Linked DNA regions of Mytilus edulis. The protein of the gene in region 2 binds, or shares a complex with, the protein of the main gene of each other region. Links are inferred from orthologs where the notes say so. Each region holds a gene or a part of one and is shown on either strand. Other genes may lie near its edges. The genes, in order: rapamycin-insensitive companion of mTOR-like and target of rapamycin complex 2 subunit MAPKAP1-like.

Region 1 (11,710 bases), on a different chromosome or scaffold from region 2:
TAAACAACTTATGTAAAACATGCTATAGCTAACATCTTAAACAACTTATGTAAAACATGCTATAGCTAACATCTTAAACAACTTATGTAAAACATGTTATAGCTAACATCTTAAACAACTTATGTAAAACATGTTATAGCTAACATCTTAAACAACTTATGTAAAACATGTTATATCTAACATCTTAAACAACTTATGTAAAACATGTTATATCTAACATCTTAAACTACTTATGTAAAACATGTTATATCTAACATCTTAAACAACTTATGTAAAACATGTTATATCTAACATCTTAAACAACTTATGTAAAACATGTTATATCTAACATCTTAAACAACTTATGTAAAACATGTTATATCTAACATCTTAAACAACTTATGTAAAACATGTTATATCTAACATCTTAAACTACTTATGTAAAACATGTTATATCTAACATCTTAAACAACTTATGTAAAACATGTTATATCTAACATCTTAAACAACTTATGTAAAACATGTTATATCTAACATCTTAAACAACTTATGTAAAACATGCTATAGCTAACATCTTAAACAACTTATGTAAAACATGCTATAGCTAACATCTTAAACAACTTATGTAAAACATGCTATAGCTAACATCTTAAACAACTTATGTAAAACATGTTATAGCTAACATCTTAAACAACTTATGTAAAACATGTTATAGCTAACATCTTAAACAACTTATGTAAAACATGTTATATCTAACATCTTAAACAACTTATGTAAAACATGTTATATCTAACATCTTAAACTACTTATGTAAAACATGTTATATCTAACATCTTAAACAACTTATGTAAAACATGTTATATCTAACATCTTAAACAACTTATGTAAAACATGTTATATCTAACATCTTAAACAACTTATGTAAAACATGTTATATCTAACATCTTAAACAACTTATGTAAAACATGTTATATCTAACATCTTAAACTACTTATGTAAAACATGTTATAGCTAACATCTTAAACAACTTATGTAAAACATGTTATAGCTAACATCTTAAACAACTTATGTAAAACATGTTATAGCTAACATCTTAAACAACTTATGTAAAACATGTTATATCTAACATCTTAAACTACTTATGTAAAACATGTTATATCTAACATCTTAAACTACTTATGTAAAACATGTTATATCTAACATCTTAAACAACTTATGTAAAACATGTTATATCTAACATCTTAAACAACTTATGTAAAACATGTTATATCTAACATCTTAAACAACTTATGTAAAACATGTTATATCTAACATCTTAAACAACTTATGTAAAACATGTTATATCTAACATCTTAAACTACTTATGTAAAACATGTTATATCTAACATCTTAAACAACTTATGTAAAACATGTTATATCTAACATCTTAAACAACTTATGTAAAACATGTTATATCTAACATCTTAAACAACTTATGTAAAACATGTTATATCTAACATCTTAAACAACTTATGTAAAACATGTTATATCTAACATCTTAAACAACTTATGTAAAACATGTTATATCTAACATCTTAAACTACTTATGTAAAACATGTTATATCTAACATCTTAAACTACTTATGTAAAACATGTTATATCTAACATCTTAAACTACTTATGTAAAACATGTTATATCTAACATCTTAAACTACTTATGTAAAACATGTTATATCTAAGAAATTATAAATGAAGCCAAAATGTGTTCATTTTTCACCCCCTCCAATCAATTACAAAAAATTTACCTTGTTTTAATAATTTTAATATATATATATACCAGAATAAACTAGTCCACCTTGTCTGCATATATTACAAAGGAATTATAAGTTCATACATTCAGGAGAAAGAGGTGGAATCAGTGCTTACAAAAGTTGTTTGACCCTGCTGCATGGTCATACATCCAAGTTCCAGTTGTTTAGTGAGTTTGGCATTGATTGCTGACTTTAGCTAATCTTTGTACATGTCATTCACAACTTCCCTAAATGATTTAGAGTTTTACAATTGTTGAAATCTTCATGTTAAATTGAAAAATTAATCTTTAGATGTCTCATTTTTTATTGTGCTGTTTGGTTAATGTGGCATCAATGTATACCCTACATCTCTTTGTTCATTAACTGATTTACATACCTTACAATCAAATAATCTATCTGTAATGCATATACCAAGTCTACAGCTTCACCATCTTGTATAAAGTACCGTAAAACTCTTAAGGTAGCTGCTCTTACTTCTTTTGCTTCATGAAACAAACTTATTCTCAAACTGAAATATCATCATAAAGAATTATCAATCAAAATCCATGGATTCAAGGTACCAGTCTTGTATTACAACTCCAGTTTCCGGTGCATGTCAAAACATGGAGGGAAACAAAATAGTGCATTTTTTTCTGATTTTTTTTCTGAACTCAATTTTTTCTGTTTGATTATAGGTTTATGCTGAATTGAAACATATATATAGACTTTAAAAAAAATCTTGCATCTTTTGGGGATATCAATCCAGGAAAGTGGAAGGATATCATGTTTACTGGAAGTGGTGTGGCCTAGTAAAAATAGCAAACAGAAAGTAGAAAAACAATGTTTTGACTTCAGGATTGCGTAACTTTTTATTCTTCGTGGCAAGACCCCTTTTTTTTCCCGATTAAATCACAATTTCACATTAGTACATACATGATATGAACATGATTTTTTTTTTCTATGTAGCATTTTTTATTTTTTTATTTTCAAAGATCAGCTGTTTTGCATGTAAGCCTATGGAGCAGTCAATTACAAGACTGCAACCTCAAGACAAAAAATCCTTAATCAGAAACTAACCAATAGTAAGTTTACTTTGTCCATTCAGTTTAAACAAAATAACTGTAGTCTCAGTACTATAGATCTCTGTTTCATATCATCGAGACATAACTTGGGAATGTTATCAGCATAAAAACACAAGATACCCATGAAAAATTAATTCTGAGGCAGACCAAAAATAAAGGTAGGGGTAGTACAGAATTTTAATATAAGTTTAAACTCTTAGAAGTTCATAAATTTTTATAAATTTACATTTTGTAATAGATCATATTTATTTGTTTTTTGTATGTTTGCTTGTTTTTGTTCATATGTCATTTGATAGAGTTCAGCCATTTCAATTGATATTTTATAGTGTGTTTTTCTATGTTGTGATGTTTCACTATTGTTTCAGGTTACAGTGAAGTTTGGTGTCTGTTTTAAAAATGTTTAAACCCACTGCATTTGTTTGCACCAATCGATCAATTCTTTTAAAATCAGGAGTTAGGCAATGCAATATAAATGTGAAACCAGGTGCTCCGCATGGTGCAGCTTTATACGACCGCAGAAGTCGAACCCTGAACAGTTGGGGCCAGTATGGACACAACATTCAAGCTTGATACAGCTCTAAATTTGGATTGCGAAATTTTTTTGGACATAATATGAGTTTCTGACACTAAACAAGGGTCAAGATCTTACAAATCTATTGCACAATGTTGTGCAATTAAAGATTTCTTCTTTGAACTTTTCAAAAATTTGGAATTTGAGAAATTTGAAAAAAAATAATTGAAAACAACTACCCCCCCTTTTTTTGCAATTAGTCCAAAACCTGACATGTCTTTATACATAATATAAAAGTAGTGTAAGGGAGGTAAATCCAAACATACCCAACATTGTATGTTAAATGTTTTAGAATTACCTCCCTTACCCTGCTTTCAAATTGTCTTAATTGTCCATTGACCAGAAATACCTAGCTTATCCCCTTTTTTGCCCCTAATTCTGAAACATTTTGAGCCATAACCCCTCAGAGTCAATCCTAACCATCCCTTCATGGTATGGAAACTTGTGGTTTAATTTCAGAGAGATTCATACACTTAAACATAAGTTATTGTTTGAAAACTACAAAAATGATTATTTTGGGACCCCTTTTTGGCCCCTAATTCCTAAACTATTGGGACAATAACCCCCAAAATCAATCCCAACCTTCCTTTAGTAGTATTGAACCTTCTTATAAAAATTTATAGAGATCCATGCACTTAAACATAAGTTATTGTCTGTAAACTAGAAAAATGCTTCTTTTTGGCCCCTTATTCCTACATATTCAAGAAAATTAACCCCAAACTGAATCCCAGCCTTCTCTGTGTTATATGGAAACTTGTGGTACAATGTCAGAGAGATCCATACAGTTACACACAAGTTATTGTCTTGAAACTAGAAAAATGTTTGTTTTGGCCCTGTTTTGGCCCTAAATTCCTAAACTTTTTGCCCAATAACCCCTTAAAATAAATCCCAACCTTCTACTTATGGAATTATACATTGTAGTACAATTAAATAACAATTGAAATACTCATATACAACTTTTTGTCCTGAAACTAGATAAATGCTGTTTTTGGCCTTTTTGGGCCCCTAATTCCTAAACCTTTGGGACCAAATCCCCAAAAATCAATCCAAAGCTTCCTTTTATGGTTATAACCATTGTGTTAAAATTTTATTGATTTCTTTTTACTTATTCAAAAGCTATTATCCGGAAACAATTCATCTTCGGACGATGCAGACGACTTTGACAAAGTGATACCAATATACGACTAAAATTTGTTTAATGTTTGCGGTCGTATAAAAATGAACTCTGTATTATTAATGGAAAATATTTTTTTCATTGAAAATATTTGATCAAATATCAATTTATTATCATACATGGTTGATAAAAACTAAAGAAAACTGCTTTCTAAAGTTTGGTTAAATGATGATACCATATGATTACCATGTACAGCTAAATACTTACCAGCTTAAAATATCTCTTTTTGAAAATCCAGTAATTTTCTCCTGCTTATATTTCTGTAGGAACTTAACAAAGGCATTTAAGTAGCCCAGTTTTCTTGATTTAGAAGTCTGTATTTGTGCAATAGTATTCACCAGTATTTCCTTCAAATTATCTGTTGGGCCTAAAATAAAATAAGATTTATACAACTACCAATACCCATTAATAAAATAAACAAATGCTTTCTTCAAGTTATTTGCAGGACTTTGAATCACAATCACAAGTATGACAAGACTGTTGATTAGTAATGGCCTCAGTCTACCTATATATATGTACAAAAAAACACTACATTTGTACATTTGTAATTCTTGGGTATATTAGATGCAGAATCATAGCTAGGGTAAATTTGAAAACAGAATAAATTTTTCCTTGGAAGTATACAATCGTTCAGTGTTTTAATTTACAGACTTAATCTGAATGATCAATTATCTGCTAATAGCCTTGGAGGCCATGTGGTCTTACATGTTTAACCCCGCCACATTCTGAATGTATGTGCCTGTCCTAAGTCTAGAGCCTGTAATTCAGTGGTTGTCGTTTGTTTATGTGTTACATATTTGTTTTTTGTTTATTTTTTGTACATAAATAAGGCTGTTAGTTTTCTCGTTAGAATTGTTTTACATTGTCATTTCAGGGCCTTTATAGCTGACTATGCAGTATGGGCTTTGCTCATTGTTGAAGGCTGTAAGGTGACCTATAGTTGTTAATTTTGGTGTCTTTTGGTCTCTTGTGGAGAGTAGTCACATTGGCAATCATACCACATCTTCTTTTTTATAAGTAGTTCATCTTCTGTATCAATAGCATTTCAACACTGAGGTTGTGACTTCAACTCCAATCTTTCTTCACCAGGATTGCTAGCTTCATCTCAATTGGCTTAAACCGACAGTAATAACTTGCCAATAATGCTGTAAGTTGCATTAAACATTGTTAAACAGTAAAAATAAATGTGTTATCTATTTGAGTTTAGATATCTAGTAAGTGATGTTTTCTAGTGTCAATAGTTCAAATTGTATTGTCAACCTGGTACATGTATGTAATAAGGAAACATATTTTTTTACATGATAAACATGTGTACCTGTATATATATATATTTTCCAATTATTGATAATATCCAGAAATATTTAATCTATTTGATAGAAAAAATTATTCAAAAGAACAGTTCGTCGATGTTTATGATCTTATATCATGTATATATTTAAAGACTTTCTTGCAGAATAAAACAGATCCTGTGAGTCACAGTAGAAATCATAGCTGTTATCTGTATGGTCTGACATGATGGTGAAAGTCAGTTTGTAGCCTTTCAACTTAATTTTGTAAATATCAAAATAACCCAATGAAATTTGGTTTTTTAAACAGTCATCTACAATTAGAGCAATATAAAACCAAACATTTGATTGTATGTTCTTGCACGCCTGAGAAAATAGTATTTCATTTTTTTTGTTTATATTAAACAACAAATGAATACAAGGGGAACAACCAGAGTTTTTCTTTAACATTTTCTTGTACTAAGAGGAATAATTCAATGTCTATTAAGTATAGTCTGTTTCATCAATCATCAAACAAATACCGAAATCATTTTCTCTGTAATGTTTTAGACCACTGCAAAAAATCTGTCTTGTCAAATTTGTTTGGTGAATTGATATATATATTTTGAAATTTTAAATTTAAAAAAAATGGGGGGGGGGGGGGGGGGATTTTTCTTATTTTTAGGGGGGTCATACTATTTACTTCGAATAATTAAAATTTCAATTTAAAACAAAAACAAAATAATTGGGGGGGGTTCTCATATATCTAAGCACTTGAAAACCAATTAATTAAAGAAAGATTTGCATTCATCACAGCTTTCACTAGTGGCAGGTAGAAAGGCCAGTTTATTCAATTTTTAATCAGATAAATGTGTTCAACAAGCATTTTAATTTATATTTCTGATTTTCATTCAAACTAACATCAAAGTCCCTTAATACAAACAAATTGGTTGACGCAAATTACCTAGGGAAACTCCCTTGGATACTGTGGATTCATTTTTATTCGTTGGATACCAATTTTCGTGGGTTTCGTGGGTACAGATGAACCACAAATTCATATGTTCAGCGAATAACATATTTTCAATAGGCTTTATATACAGAGATTGGCAAAACCATGAAATTATATATCCACGAAAATGAAAGTTTTCAGCAATCCACCAAAATTGATACCAATGAAAATAAATGAATCCACAGTATGCATAAAAAAGAAAACCAACCAATTGAAATATATTCTGAACTGTACATCAAATTGACAAAATGACTAAAATGATTTTATTTTCTGAATTTGTTTACTTCAATATTTAACATATATCTAGTGACAATAGTTCAAGCGGGACAGATTCTCGGGTCAGCCGGGATAGGGCTCTTCAAGGTTAGTTCGGCCATATTGGATAGGGGGCAGATTTTTTTAGAAAGATGTGAAAATAGTATGAAAGTATGGGAAATCCTATGTGTGTTTCCAAGCAAGAGTGCATGTGGGGATAGGAGAGGTCCTGATCCTGAAATCCCAGACTTTAAATCCTGACGTCCCAAAAATCCACAAAAAAGAATTCCCGGTTCACATAAGGGTCAATCCTGAAATCCCAAGCTTAAAAGACCTGATTCCGTAGTCCCGATAAAGGTCCTATCCCCCCTCAAGCAACTGCTCTGTTTATATGATGTTTTCTTGTATTTTTCACACCATTTTTACCTCCATTATGAAAATCTGCCCCCTATCAAATATGGTTGAACTAACCGTGAAGAGCCCTATTAGCGATAAGGTGTATACACAAACTCTACACAAGCTTCCGAAATTTTCATTTATGAATGCACTGCCAAAGTTTACCTGAGGTCATTTTGGGGAAACTCGGCATATGACATGTGGTGTAAAGATATTTGCTTCATATGTCAATTTTTCCAGGGGAAATATGCACCAAATGGTACATTTAGATGATGGATACTGTAATAGGCCTGTTATGTCCTGTCTGTAGACAGGTCTGACAGGCAGATCTGCACAATTCAAATTCACAGTAAATCAAATCTTATAAAATGACAGTAGTTGTGCAATGTTTTTCAACTGTGAGAATATTTGTTTCCCCATAGCAAGTTGTTTTTGTTGTAATTATAAAGTTGACATTTCATAAATAACAAACCTTTGGTAAAGTCCAATCGAAAAACTTCATCGCCACTGTCATTTCGAGCTGAAATGAAAGAAAAAAGTACATAGTTACAAAGTTAAGGATATAATTGAGATATGTAATGTAAATAGGATTTCATGAAAGATTTACATACATTTAAAACGCCCTGTTTTGTGTGACCGTATGCCCTGGCGAGCCCCAACGGCCGCCATATTTTTACTTCCTATTTTTACGGCTAGTCGTAAAATTATTCGATAGCAAGATACAAGGCAACTAAATTGTAAAATAATCTTTGTTCTCTTCAGATTTTAATACCAATTTGAAAATAATTTATTTATTGAAGTAAATCAAAACTACTTTGTTTACATCTTGTCTAATTTACGACAAGCAAAAGCTACTTTGACCATGGCCGACACAGGTGCCCCTAAAATTTCACAACACGAATTTACAAAGATTGCTGACAAATTATTAGGGTCGGAAGGTCCAGTGTTTGATAAGGATGGAAACTTTTACATGGTTGCTCCTGAGGTTGAAAAAGATGGTGCATTTGCAGGACAGATTTTAAAAGTTGATCTTTCAACTTGTAAAGTATGTTTTTGAAGCGTTTTCATTTAAACATGTACCTGAAAACCCCCCAGATATAAGGTGTGATGATTTTTTTTGGGTCGACCTGATACGCCAACATGGTAACTCTACTAGTCTGACGCCCAATTGGTCTGTCACCCCTTAGCTCCGACACCCTATATACTGGGTTAACCCCATTCCGGTGGTCAAAATGTTAATCATTATTCCAAACGCATTTTTCGAACTAAACGGAACAAATATGATTGAAATAAATAAAATTCAGTTATTTAGCTCTTCAATGATGCATAATATGTTACCCATTTGTCAAGTTTTATCAGTTTAATAAATGATTGAAAATCGGTGATCACCACCCATCATTGTTTTTGCTATTAACCTCTTTCCGGTGCAAAGGTAAAATATAGTATGGAGGACAACTTGGAACACTAATGCACCTTATTTTGTGCATCAAATAACGCTAATATTCTAGTAAGAAGTACAGATCAGCAAAACACGATTTTATTTAGGACAAATACACAAATTATTTTTGACAAGATGAAAAATGTTGAAAAGTCCAATATATGCAAGATTTTTTTTCTAAATTTATATAAAAAAAAAAAATTCTCATTCAAATTTTTGTTTTACTTTCACTCTTTTGTGGAAATTATTTTAATAATTCTATTTTGATGTCAATAGTGGGAAAAAAATATTTCACAAAGTTTCACTTTTTGAAAATCTACTTTAACTGAATAAATAGAAAAATTACATTAATATTAAACAGTTCTTTTAAATCTATTGTTTGTTGTTTTTTTTTAAATCAGAATAACAGTTTTTGGAATAGTGTTCTGTATATTGGACAGTTTACTGTTCTTTACAGTGTGGACAAAAGAAAGTATCCCCTCTCCGCAAGACTCTAACATCACTACAGAATTGGAGATGTGTCCAGTGACGGCAGTTATCATTGTCACATTGTGCCCATTTGACAAACACAATTCCTGCTAGTTGTCTGATCTCTGAGGGAGATTTCTTATTACAAACACAGCAAGTTTCACCGTCGTCATCATCGGTTTCATCACTGTCACTAAATGAATTCTCAAGACATATTGGTCCTCCTTTATCCTTGTTTAAACCAGATGTACCAAGACCTGCATTAACATCATCCTCTGATAATCTAATTTTTTTTTCAATTTTTTCCATCACAGTTGAACTTTTTCTTTTTACAGGTGCCTTCTTTTTGGTATCTTTTCCTGCTTTGTTTTGATTTCTAGTTTCCTTTTCAACTGTCTTAGGCTCTGCTTTTTTATAGGGTGGTTTAAAAGTTCCTTTCTTTTTTGACTGATTCAGATGATCCATATTTTTCTTTTTTCCTAAATTTCCTGTGATTGTGAAGTGTTTCCTTTTCTTTTCTGTCTTTTCAACTGAAACAACATTTCTTTTTAGCAGGAATCCGGATGGAGAACTGTTTACTGTACATGTGGTTATATTCGAAGAGTTGTTTGATGTGTTCAATTCAATTATTGGTTCTGCGGTATATATTTGAATGTCATCAGAGTACCTGCTTTCAGGAGGAACTAGAGTAAGCAACGGTTGACTATTTGATTCATCTTGATCTGATGAGATATCTTGTTCCTTTTGGGCTGATGATGAAGCTTCAAATTGTTGTATCGTCAGAGTGGCAGCTTTGTTGAATTGCTGAGAGGAAGTGTTGTCATCTTCTTGTGAAATTTGTGTATTATTCATTGTACTTGCTTCATCTGATGTAGCTGTGGGGTAAATTGTAGCTGGAGCAAGTTCGCTGGTGTCAACAGCTTTTGGGTTAAAAGGATATATCCCACTTTTCCTAAAAGATGATATCAAGTTCTGTGCAGATAGACCTTTCTGGTAGGGAGAACAAGACATTTGTCCTATGTTATACCTTGTAATTTTACATCCTGGATTTTTTCTCATAAACAACTGTGCCTCCCGGTTGTAACAAGCCTTTAATGGTCCAAAACACCCTATATCTAATGGCTGTAAAATGTGGCTACAGTGTGGTGGAAGTATGAAAAGAATGATGTTCTTTGATTCAGCCCAATCTTGCAAAGTTAAGCTCACATGTGAGCGGTGGCCATCAAACAATATAAGAAGAGGAGTGCCAGAGACATCATGTGATACATACTTGAGAAAATGCTTTTCCAGGTACATTTTGAATATTTCACTGTTAGACCATCCAGATTTACTGCATTGGCCATCAGAACCAGGTGGAGTCCCATCAAGAAGTAGAGCCCTGTCAAATTTAACACCCGGAAATACATAATAAGGTGGAACAGCATTTCCAATTGCATTGCCAGCACCAATTATAGTGACATTTGCAGATCTTGGCGATGTGACAGACTGGGGCTTAACAACAATGTCATGAACAATTTTACCTGGGCTATGTTCAGTTTGTAGAGCACTCTCATCCATATTAAATATTTTGTGTGGCTGTTCATGCAGATTGTTTTTGGTCATAATAGTGCCCAACTCTTTGTAATAGTTAGATAGTGTCTCCTTTGATGCACATCTAGCTCTCTGCATGGATAATTTCTGTGGTTTACTAATAGTTAGATTTGGCCATCTTTTCATAAAAGAGTAATACCATTTGTTGCTCAATATATCCTCTTGAGGTTTTCTCTTGCCCATAAACACAGCTAAATCAGTTGCTAGATAAATGACATCTATTCTTGAATAACCATAACCAATGCTGGCCATATGTGCAATGTGGTCCACCATTTTTTTCTCTGTAGACTCATCAAAAAGGTAATTGGAGCATCTCCCATCCACAGAAACCAAACCAAGTGTCCTATCTCTAAGCGTGCTTTCTGGAATACCATAGTTTTTTGCAGCTTTGTAAACAGACATTCCATTTTGTACAGCATCATAGGCAAATTTTAACGCATTTGGATCATACTGCTTTTTCTTCATTGTAAAAATATCTGTAATAAAAATGAATAGACATAAACATTTACAAAAGATCAGTAAAATCTTAAATTCAGTTTGAAAAAAATATTTTCATCCCCCCCCCCCCCCTTTATACCTTCAATTAATTATAAAGCACATTTCTTTTAATAATTATTGTGCAAGCATTTTGTCCTTTAATCACAGTAATATGTTCTTCATATTCATATTTATTAATTTTTATTAAATTCAATCAACATAAATAGTTTCATAAAC
Region 2 (11,710 bases):
CTACATTTAGATTTTAAACTTTATTTTCAAATGGATGCCAAGTTACAAGAGACTTTGCAGCCTTGAGAGTTTAAAAGTATGCAGACTCATATGCTAATTTCAGACTAGAACCTTCCTGGCAAAACATGGTCGCAATCAGAACACATCGGGCCATTCAGCTTATTTGCTTTGTCAATGAAAGAGGTGTCAGGTTGACCCAGGGTCATTGCATAAATCAGCTCCCATAATGCATTGCACTTTGCTTTATCTCATTGGTCATGTGACAATCTTTCAAAGTGAATGTAAAATGCAAAAATCGATAGGTCACTGTGAAAATTGTCCAGAAAATAAAGGGTGGCAGGTTCATTTGTAGATGAAACTTACATAAATGAAGAGATAAATGAAAAAGGAAAAAATTGAAGCCCGATTAATATGGATCCATGGGTTAGGTTGATGACAGGACAGGACAAAGGTGTGTCATTATAAATATGGATTCATTTACAAGTTTCTGTCAGAGTCCATTCCACTGACATTAATACTAACCATATCCCATATCAGGGAGGATATCATAGGAACTTGACAGGTTGGTGTCAGAGTCCATTCCACTGTCACTAATACTTGAAGAATCATGTCTGGAAAAAAATATATCATTTCATTAATCATTCTCTCCTTCTTAGATTTAAGAAAATGTGGTATGAGTGCCAATGAGAAAACTTTCCATCCGAGTCACAATTAATAAAAGTAAACCATTATTGGTCATAGTTCGGTCTTCAACACAGAGTCATGGCTTACACTGAATAGCAAGCTAAAATGACTAGTGTAAAACCATGCAAACGTGAACACCAATGCTTTAATCTACACAAATAAAATGATTCAAGGAGCTCAGCCTGATACCACCACAGAGGTCAAACCCTGAAAAGTTGGGGCAAGTTTGACCAATATTTAAGCTTGATACTGTCTGAATTTGGATTGTGAGTTAAGTTTTGACATAATATGTTTCTAACACAATGTTAATGTGGTCAAAGATCTAAATCAAAGTTCTTGTAAGTACTGAAGGGTAAAGATTGCTTTATTTTATCACATGGAAGTAAAATTAAATATTGCATTTCCAATAAAGCATTTTTTGTAGTTATTTCAACTATAGTTCTGGACAATGGGAGATAACTCCAAATTTAAAGGTGATTTTAACAATGACATCATTTATATTTTTAGAACAGATATAAGATTCCTGCACCTTGCAAAAGTTATAACATGGTTTTGTGATTTGATACCTAAGCGTATATTTAAATTAATAAATTTCTGTAAGTGTTAAGGGATAGGATGTATAGAATGTTATGATCAATGCACTATATTTTGTGTATCAAAAATGTAGAGATTTTAGATATCAAGTCAGTAACATATGATTTTGATTGCATTTCATGCAATCTTTACCCAAAAAAATCTATTGTGCATTACTGTGCTATTGCACAATACTGTTCAATTGAAGAATTCTTCTTGAAACTTTTCAAAAATTTTGAAGACACACACTTTATTGTACAGAAACTTCTACACAAATCCTTTTTTTGGTCCCTTATTCCTAATCTGTTAGTACCACAACCCCAAAAATCAATCCCAACCTTTCTTTTGTGGTATTGAACCTTCTTGTATTTCATAGTTTTATTCACTTAAATTTAAGTCTGGAAACAACACTTATGGACCCCACAACAAACAACAACTACTGAACATCAGATTCCTGACTTAGGACAGGTGCAAACAATTGCAGCCAGTTTAAACGTTTTACCAACCGTCACCCTTATCTGAAACAATAGTGTTACATCACAACATAGAAAGACACACTATAAAATATCAATTGAAATGACTTAATGAACTCAATTATAAACATAAAATCACAAGTGAACTGACAACATACACCAAACGATATTCATATTTTGATAATTTTACAGCCTACCTCTTATTGACTCTTTTGCTTCAAATAAACAAGTTTTATGATATAAGTTTTTAGCTGTTGTAAACCCTATGATTTAGGACTGCTGAAATATTATACGATCAGTGATGCAATCCTTTTAAATGTTATTTCAGGGTATAGAGTGTGGTCAAAGTTAGACTGATGGTTCAGCAAAGAGTTTTGAAAATTTTTCTATCATGTATTTGTCATCATGGTCATACATGGTCTGCATCTATCATGTCTATAATCATTCTCTTTACTTTGTATGCTGAAATGAGTAATACTAATAGGAAAAGGGATTGTAAACATTGTAAACTAGACCTAGGACATCTTCATTGTAGTCATTGGTTTTACAAGCATGAGTCAGGACTAAGGATTCATATGTGATTTTAGCATGTACATGTACAGGATTGTATATACAATACTATAAATAATAAATGGGGAATGTGTCCATGGGACCCCGATGATGCCCCAGCTTGCATATACATTGTAATATAAAGTTATATAGGGACATAACATATGCACTGTTTATAACATTTTTCAAAAGACAGGTTTATGGCAAATAACACAAAGTATGTGTTTAAATGTTTCTCTAAAATGATTGTCTATACATCTGTATAGAGTATTAGACTGTTTACCTGCTTTTAGAATCATATTCATCATAATCTTCACTCTCAATAATTAATTCACACATCCCTGTGTCATCACTGGTAATGAATGAGTTTCTCAAGTGAGAGATCAGAAATCTGGCATTATCTGTCATAGCCATGGTTACAGCCTATCTGTTTAAGTAAATCTGAAGAAAAAAAACACATGTAAAAAGTACAAACCTCATACTAATACCAATATTCTAATTCTGTATCTCATTTCTTATCTACAAAGTAAGTGTTGTGACAATGTTATGTATAACTATTTGTTGTTCATTTGCAGGATTGAAATTGTCTTATTGTCATGTTCTGTGAGACCAAGCTTGATTGAAAGTAATTAATTACCATAATAACGATTACCACACCACCTTCTGTATGTGCTTGTCTCAAGTCAGGAGCCTGAAGTTTAGTGGTTGCATTGGTTCATGCCTTAAATTTGGATGGACAGCTTTCTTATATTCTAATTTGAACTACAATGTAGTTATTAAAGCATGAAAGGGCGTTTAAGGAAACTACAATTCTAATAATAGCAGATAAACTCCATAACAGATATGTGAGGGTGAAGATGAAATGCAATTTGTAATGATGATATGTTAAACATTGTATAACCAGATGCTCTGCAGGGCGCAGCTTTATATGACCGCAGAGGTTGAACCCTGAACGGTTGGGGCAAGTATGAACACAACATTCAAGCTGGATTCACCTCTAAATTTGGATTGTGATTAAATAGTTGATACAGCATAGGTTTCTGATACAGAATGAATGCAGTCTAATGAACTTAAAAAATTTTTGCCTTTGAGGAATTCACTATGCTGTTGAATATTAATCCTCTCAAAAAAATGTTTGAAGAAATTTTCTTTTTATTTATGAAATCTGTCAAAATGTCAAAATGTCGAAATCGATGTGTGACTGTAAAAACTGTCTAATAATGAGAAAATAAAGGTTGGCAGGTAAGTGAAACTTACATAAATGAAGAGATAAATGAAAAATGAACAGATTGATGCCCGATTTATATAATTCCAAGGCCGTCAGTCGGCACCAGAAGCGACGAAGCAGCGCATCTATTTTGGGTGGGCAAATATCCACTTTTTGATATGGGACGGGCTCTGACCTCCCACGGTCCCAGCTTGTCTGGCAAAACAGCCGTTGGACGTCAGAGTAATCTCGTACTAGTGTCAGTTGTTTGTTTAACTTATGGTGATTAAAAAGGTGTCAACAATACACGTAGCATAATGTCATAATCAATTATAAAGACCTAATTAAGAATTGAAAATTAATTTCCAATAACAACAACCAACCAACATCATACTTGTATTCTTCTAGTAGTCCGAGTTTGGTATAGTCCGAGTTAGGTATAGTCCGATTTTGGGAGGCCAATTATGTTATAGACCGAGTTTGTTATAGTCCGATTTTGTTATAGGCCGAGATATCATGGATTCAGCTAGTCCATCGATGTAAGGCGTCAAAGAAATCAAAGAGCTGAAAGCTCTGAAGAAAAATGACGCCACTGTCTCTAATATTGGGATAGTTTTTATGCAAGTCTTGATTTTCACATACCGTAATTAGTTTAACAATGCAACATGTCTCGTAAGCATATTATTGATATTCGTATATATATGTGTGTGTGTGAAGTGAAGGTGACAACTGGCTGTTTTTTAAGACAAATGAATAGGTCAAGACTACCTGAATTGTACAAATAAATACCGTAGAAAGGCTTGTATATTTCTCACTGGTACATAGTCTGAATCCGGTTCCGTTCGTGCCCACTCATGTTCGCCCCTTTCACTTTCATTCCCTACATGTTCGCACCCAATCTTAATTGGTTTTGTGTTTAATAACTCTGTAAGCAAGTGTTTTCTTATAAGTATAATTGTTGTCATTGTTTTTTTGTGTTGAATAAATCTTAATCATGTTTTAGATAGCGTATTGTTAAAAATTATAATAATCCTTTCTAAATAAAGTGGTATTTTGTCAACGTTTTATTTTGTGTTGAATAACTCTTAATCATGTTTTGGTTAGTGTATTGCTATAACTTTGTTTCATTGACTTCTTTCAAAATGAAGTGAGATTCTGACTATGTTTTTTTCTGTGTGTTGAATAGATTTTATCATGTTTTGGTTATAATAGTGGATTGCTATATTTTGGTTCCTATATTTTATTGTTTCGTTGTTTCAGATCAAAGGGACCAAGCTGTTAAAAACAATTATCTTTTGTGTTTTCCTTTAAAATCTTCAATGTTTTACTCATACCAAGCTATAAATACATTCAGTATTTACACCAAAGCAATTTAAAACAACAATCATGATTTTCCAATTATTCAACTTGAATTTGAATTAAAATTGGGCGCAAATGAGTAGAGTGCAAACGGACCTTCGGTGCGAACGTGCGAGGTGCGAACGTGTAGGGTGCGAAAGTGAATTGGACGCGAACAGACCTGGTACCACATAGTCTGAACCCCCTTCTCCCACAAAATATTAAGTAAATAATCTTTTTGTTACTGTTATCAAAGGTTTAATGAAACTCAGGTAATTTCAAACATTTGTCAAAGAATTCTAGTCAAACCGGCACCTGGTTAAATTGGCACCTGGACAAATCAGCACCTGGTTAAATCGACACCTGATATAGTCAATTTGTCACCCATATTAAATATAAATTTTAACAGTATTTTAAGCAAAAAGAGTAAAAATAAGTAAGGGGTTGCCAGGATTTTTTTCAGTATTTAAGCAAAAAGAGTTAAACATGTTAAATACTAACTTTCACATTTTTGGGTGTTCATGTACATTTTGTATATATTTATTTTTCTCAACTTAATGACTTTTTTGGTGTATTTTTAATGATATATATATGAGTAGTCAAAATAATTATTACGTCTGGCAAGGCTTTTTAAATTTTATTCTGGGACACCTTTCTATGACTGCAAGGCTATGTTTATTTTTTTCTGGGACGCCTTCCTACGAACTTCATAGGAAGACATCACAGAAAAAAAAATAGCCTTGCCAGACGTCATAATTATTTGGACTAATACATGAGATATTGGATATTTTTATGCATTATTTAAACCAGTTGAGCATTTTACAGGATTGTTTGTTTAATGCTTTTTAAACTTTACTGAAAAAAAACACCTTAAATTTGCTTATTATTTGGCATGAAAGTTTGATTTATTGAAAGGGACTCATAGTTTTCCATTTTATTTTAATAATTGTCTAATTGTTAAAACAACAGCTTGGGTAAGGGCTTCGTTGTTTACCTTTATACACAACAACATAGTTCACTTTGGTTTCGTTGTTTACCTAAATACACAACAACATATTCACTATGTACTTGGTAACAGTTATTAATTAATTGAATAGAAAATATTATAACAAATATTATTGGATGCCGAATTGACGTCAAATAGGTGCCGATTTGACTAGATGCCAATTTAACCAGGTGCCGACTTGACTTGTACGTTTCAATTCCTCTGCGATCGTTTGCGGTATTTTCTTGAGAAAAACCTATTTTCCATCATCAAAGAGAAGAAGAAACTGCTTGAAAATGATTCTGGAACGCTTCATGATTGTTAAAATAAGTTAAATTCACTCACTATGTTTTACAATTTTAAAACTTGCGATGTTTAAACAGGAAGTTTCAAAAGCATGTGTAAAAGAAGAAATTAACCGGTGAGAGTGGAAATCCGTACATAACAGATATCACTATAGTACGACTTTGAAAGCAAAACAGTTCCATCCTTTTGTAAAACAGTCTTTAATATACCTATCACATTAATGTTTGACGGGTCTTAAGCTTATTCAAACCATAAAAGTCGGTATGAAACACCAAAACGGAATGAACAATAACCGATTACGTTTTGTAGTTTACAAATTCTAAACTGGTTCCCGTCAAACTACAACACTTTGTTCGAGTGTAGTGGAATACAAGTAGAAACCAGTTAGTTTGTAAACTGGTTCCTGGCTGATTACTACACAATGACCTCTCATGCATAATGATAACACAAGCAAATTCCAGTTTGTATAGAAAATAGTAAATACGAAACCAAGCGCGGTAGGCAGAGAATGTAATGAAGTTCAGGTCGCCAGTAATGGAACAATGACTGCGTCATTTTCCAAAAAATTATAATAGCCTTTCAAGACGTCATAATTATTTGGACTAGGATTCAGCAGGATCATACACCAGTTTCACATTAATATTGATGAATCAAATATCAACCAACCCAGCTGTTTCACGTGACAATAATGTCTTACTTGTATTATACAATTGATGGAATGAACATCTTGAATACAAATTTGGTGTTATTAAGTTGTTTAACTTAATGTAAAAACCAAAACAAAGTGGCCGCAGGCTAAGACAAGGGAGGTAATTACGATAAAAATAAAACTCGGAACGTAACCGGAGAAGTTACGATAAAACGGAATTTGTTGATTGGTGGTGTTTCAGCCTCAGGTAATACTTCAGAAAAATAGTATTGTATTTCTAATCTACTATACTATGAAGCTTAGAATAATATATATATTTTTATCTTCTTTAAGTCGTTGGTTCTTCTTAATTTTAATTCTGTCTTGATTTACACTTCTATTCCTGAAGCTACACATGCTACATCATACATGTGCTATATATATATATATATATATAGCAGGTTAGTCCAAAAGGGTAATTCAGTATAAGTAAATTATTATGACGTCTTGGAAGGCTATTTTAATTTTTGCTTTGATGCCTTCCTGCGTTGATGTAAGGCATATTTGACAGAATTAAAGAGAAAAAATGTAATAGCCTTTCAAGACGTTATCATTATTTGGAGTACATTAGTACATTTAATCTATAATTCAGAGCTAACTGAATCTTCAAATTGCTCTGAACTCTTTAATTATTCTGCTTTTCTTTCAAATGTCTATTTCCTTTCTGTTGCTAGTAGCTATAGTGTCTGACAAACTATTTGGATGTTTTGAATCTCCAGCAGTCTTCATTATTCTCTTTTCTGGTGGTATCTTGTAAAATTAAAATGATTTATAAAATTGAGAATGGAATGGGGAATGTGTCAAAGAGACAACAACCCGACCATAGAGCAGACAACAGCAGAAGGTCACCAACAGGTCTTCAATGCAGCGAGAAATCCCTGCACCCGGAGGCGTCCTTCAGCTGGCCCCTAAACAAATATATATACTAGTTCAGTGATAATGAATGCCATACTAAACTCCAAATTGTAGACAAGAAACTAAAATTAAAAATAATACAAACTAACAAAGGCCAGAGGCTCCTGACTTGGGACAGGCGCAAAAATGTGGCGGGATAAAACATGTTTATGAGATTTCGACCCTCCCCTATACCTCTAGCCAATGCAAAAAAGTAAACGCATAACAATAGGCACATTAAAATTCAGTAGTCCGAAGTATAGGAAGTGTTCTGTGTCTTCCTCTTCACCACATTCCTATATGGTGTAAGGGATTGGCCTATCTGATGACAGTATTTATTATGTCTATTCACTCTATTGTATACTTTCACTTTGCCTGTTATAAATTTCGACATGATTCTCCCTATGGATTCTCATAATCAAGTGAATGGGTCTTACTCACAGTAGGAACTAGTTCATGTAGTTGTCTCCCAGTTTCACTTCTAGTCCATTTTTTTTTTGCCATGTCAGATGTATAAAATCTATACTTCAGTGAACTGCTCTTTAAGCATGTTAAGTCATGTAAGTGTGTAAATGTAGAGTTCAAAAACCAATAGGATAGCTACGAGTTACATGTAAGCTAAGAGTATTGTCACTATTTAGACTGCTAGCTACTGCATGGTTTAAGCTAGTTCCTTTATTCGGCTTTAACTCTAAATGAAGACTATTTCACATATTGTATATTTGTTTATCAAAAGTTTCTGTTGAGCATATCCGTTAATTATTAGTATAATTACATGCATCACAGTAAACCCATATTTGTTTTGCCTATCAAAAGTTCAACTGGAAACTTCATGGTGAACTTTGTTATAATTTAAACAATACTATATAATATACATATATTTCTATTCAGCTGTTTGAACAAATATCATGTCATCATTATTCCTGTAGGAAAAATACTGTAATATTTGTTCCAATGAAAATTATTTTACTGCTTAATATTTTTTTTTCCATTTGGAAATCTTGGAACTTATTTTATAAAGGAAATTCTATTTCATGATAGTACTTATGTATGAAACAAATAACCAACAGACACATACACATGTACAAGATAATCACCACAAAAAAGACTAGAGACCCACAAATATTAAAAAAACATACAAATACACAGGGGCGGATCCAGCCATTCCCTTACCAAAAAGTGCTAACATGTTGCACATAAGTTGCACATAAGATGCTCACGTTAGAAACTAACATGATTGCACACGAGTTTTTTAACATGCAAATTAGGTGAGCATTTTGTGAGCAAAAAAATTGCACATATGAAACTAACCTAATTTGCATGTTAAAAACCTCACGTGCAACTGCTCATATGAGCTTTTGTTTCACATGTGCATTTTATTAGATTGCTCATATGAGCAGTTGCTAACATGTTGCACACGTGAATATTATAGTTGACCAAAACAAAATGGCTGCTTTAAAAAATGAATATTTTTCAAATTTAAATGAAAATCTTAAATAATTCAGTTGAAAATAAAATAACTGATACATCATGTAAAAAGAGTTATTCTTTAATTATTGTCAGTTAATTATGATTTTCATATGATTTTTTTTTTTTATTTATTTAAACAATAATCATGATCATGACTAAAAACATAACATTACATTATAAAACTAATAGAGGGACTTGCAAGTTTAGTACACAATGAATATCTTTGATTAATAAGTACTGTATTTCAAAAAGTTTAAAAGGAAAAATCTTTATACATGTAGTACTTATTTTGAAGCAACCTGTATATATATTCCCATAAAGGACTTAAAATTGTAATATATTTCAAAATCTGACACAAAAATGAAAATAATGAAATAGAAATGATAACTTACAAAAATAATTAACCACAGCCACACTGGTTTTATCAGATTTCAACAATGCCTTTCTTCAAATAGCACAATATAGGACTTAACATTTTCCATATCCATCTACCTTCATTTATTGCATGCTTTTCATGAATTTGAATTTACAGGAAGTACATGACTGGGCATGTCATTTTGAAAAAGCTCATATGAGCAATGATGTAGGTTAGTTTTGAATGGTTAGAAGAATGGAAAAACTTTTCAAAGTACAAAACTAACATAAAACTAACATGGATGATAAAAGCTCACCTGAGGTTTGAATTGCACATGTGAGCATTATGTTAGATTTTTGTGGGCACATATGAACTACCAAACTGCACATATGATCAACCTGATTTGCATACAATTCTTATTTGCATCTCATGTGCTTCACATGTGAAACTTATGTGCTTTTGTTAGCAATTTCTGTACGGGTAATAAAAAGGGGGGTTTCCCATCCCAGAGTAAAGGGGGGTTCCAGCTATATGCTCCCATTCAAATGCATTGATCGGTAAAAAAAAAGGGGGGTTCCAACCCCCAGAACCCCCCCTCTGGATCCGCGCTTGAATACATCAGTTCTAAACAAAGTATAGATAACAGTATTTCTTTCCAAATATACACATAGTCATAAATACATGATTGATAACATGTATTAATAATTACCAAACATCATTTGTTTAACAGTAAAGATCTAGAATGACTTTTAATTGATAAGGAGGGTGAACAGACTCTGTAAGAAAATGATCCCTTGGTAACATGTGTCAAAGCTGTAAGCAAATATAGGCAACCATCATGACCATATGGCCTTAATAATTAATGAGAAAATCCTTACAAAATAGATGGCTACGAAATGCCCCTTCTTGAATAATATGTAATGTCGATTACAATTACAAAACTATTGACCTTATGTATAATAAACAATTATGAACAAAGATGACTGACATAAACCAACAACAACCACTGACCTACAGGCTCCTGACATGGGACAGTCTGACTGCATCATAAAGAAATACCGGTAAACGGGATTATGCATGTGAACGCTCAACTCTCCCCTTACCTGTTACAGTGGTGTAACAGCACAACATAAAAACAAACTATAAAAATGTGTGAAAATCAAGTAAATTTTGCAGGGCTGAAAAACTATCTAAAAGAAAATCTAATACTAGAAAAGATTATATTTTTTAAAACAATTTAAGCCTCTTTACATTGCCAACCTCTACTGGGACCCCTGGTTTCATTTTTTTGTTTTGTACACATCCCCTTCAGCCATGAATTGTACCATTTGATTATTTCAGTGAATCTTCAATCTTTCATATTGGTATTCATGCCATCAGTATTATAGTGACAGAAGAAAGGAAGATCCACTTTATCAATCCGATGAGATGAATCTTCTGCCTCAAAGCCACACAGAATTTCATTCTCCAGAGTACTGGGACAACTTCTTCAAAAAAAGAGGAACAAAAGCTTTTGAATGGTAAGTTAATTTATTACTGCTTCTTTTTCTTTTTTTAGAGAAGAAAAGTACTTAAACTGAAGATATGCATGAAAACATAATACTCATTTACCATGTTTACTTATACTCTTTGTAAAGTTGATAATTGAGATAAATAATGAGTTTTTGATATGAAAAGTATTACCATTGGCACATCTCATTTTGCAAGGAATTAATTTGTCCCCACTCACTCACTTATCATCTATTAAGATTTTACTTACAAAGAAGTAGATTCCCGTACTTTTTAGATCTAAACCTACACAAGTATAATGAATGCATACTACATGTACTAGGTCTTCATTTAAGTCAAACCACTATGCATTTGAATTTAAGAGGTTTTAGAGGAATCTGTGTTATTTAAAACATATGATTGATATTAACAGGTATGGAGAATATCCTGAATTGTGTGGAGTTCTACACAAATATATAAAGCCGAAAGATAAATTACTGGTTGTTGGCTGTGGAAATTCTGTCATCAGTGAAAATTTGTATGATGTTGGTTACCATAGCATTGTTAACATTGATATAAGTGATATAGTTATTCGTCAGATGATAGACAAAAACCAAAGTAAAAGACCTGATATGAAATTTCTTAAAAAAGATGTGAAACAGGTTTGTAATAAAATATGAACAAGGAGATACATTTGAAT

Evidence for each region.
Region 1: the proteins of target of rapamycin complex 2 subunit MAPKAP1-like (region 2) and rapamycin-insensitive companion of mTOR-like are in contact, whole or in part, in a cryo-EM structure (PDB 7PE7), measured with the Homo sapiens proteins. The link is inferred for Mytilus edulis from reciprocal best matches to the Homo sapiens genes MAPKAP1 and RICTOR. Residues at the interface, in NP_001006618.1 of Homo sapiens: Ala2, Phe3, Leu4, Asp5, Asn6, Pro7, Ile9, Ile10, Leu11, Ala12, His13, Ile14, Arg15, Gln16, Ser17, His18, Thr20, Ser21, Asp22, Asp23, Thr24, Met26, Cys27, Met29, Val30, Leu31, Ile32, Asp35, Val36, Ser84; in NP_689969.2 of Homo sapiens: Arg108, Gln137, Glu140, Thr144, Leu147, Arg148, Arg151, Lys152, Thr155, Arg182, Met183, Arg185, Ala186, Ala189, Cys192, Glu193, Leu196, Leu220, Arg222, Ile223, Glu225, Ala226, Leu227, Thr229, Thr230, His233, Asn236, Arg293, Trp295, Glu844.

Annotation. Positions count from the first base shown.
Region 1 is NC_092344.1:106,559,406-106,571,115, reverse strand, and holds the start of rapamycin-insensitive companion of mTOR-like, read right to left. Parts: upstream 8,189-11,710; 5' UTR 8,170-8,188; coding exon 8,112-8,169; intron 8,021-8,111; coding exon 7,973-8,020; intron 4,943-7,972; coding exon 4,783-4,942; intron 2,278-4,782; coding exon 2,146-2,277; intron 1-2,145. Other genes in the region: diisopropyl-fluorophosphatase-like, read left to right, coding at 8,363-8,545. UniProt on the Homo sapiens protein: Component of the mechanistic target of rapamycin complex 2 (mTORC2), which transduces signals from growth factors to pathways involved in proliferation, cytoskeletal organization, lipogenesis and anabolic output.
Region 2 is NC_092345.1:75,929,362-75,941,071, reverse strand, and holds the start of target of rapamycin complex 2 subunit MAPKAP1-like, read right to left. Parts: upstream 6,947-11,710; 5' UTR 6,813-6,946; intron 2,721-6,812; 5' UTR 2,694-2,720; coding exon 2,563-2,693; intron 612-2,562; coding exon 523-611; intron 1-522. Other genes in the region: eEF1A lysine and N-terminal methyltransferase-like, read left to right, coding at 10,951-11,042, 11,444-11,672. UniProt on the Homo sapiens protein: Component of the mechanistic target of rapamycin complex 2 (mTORC2), which transduces signals from growth factors to pathways involved in proliferation, cytoskeletal organization, lipogenesis and anabolic output.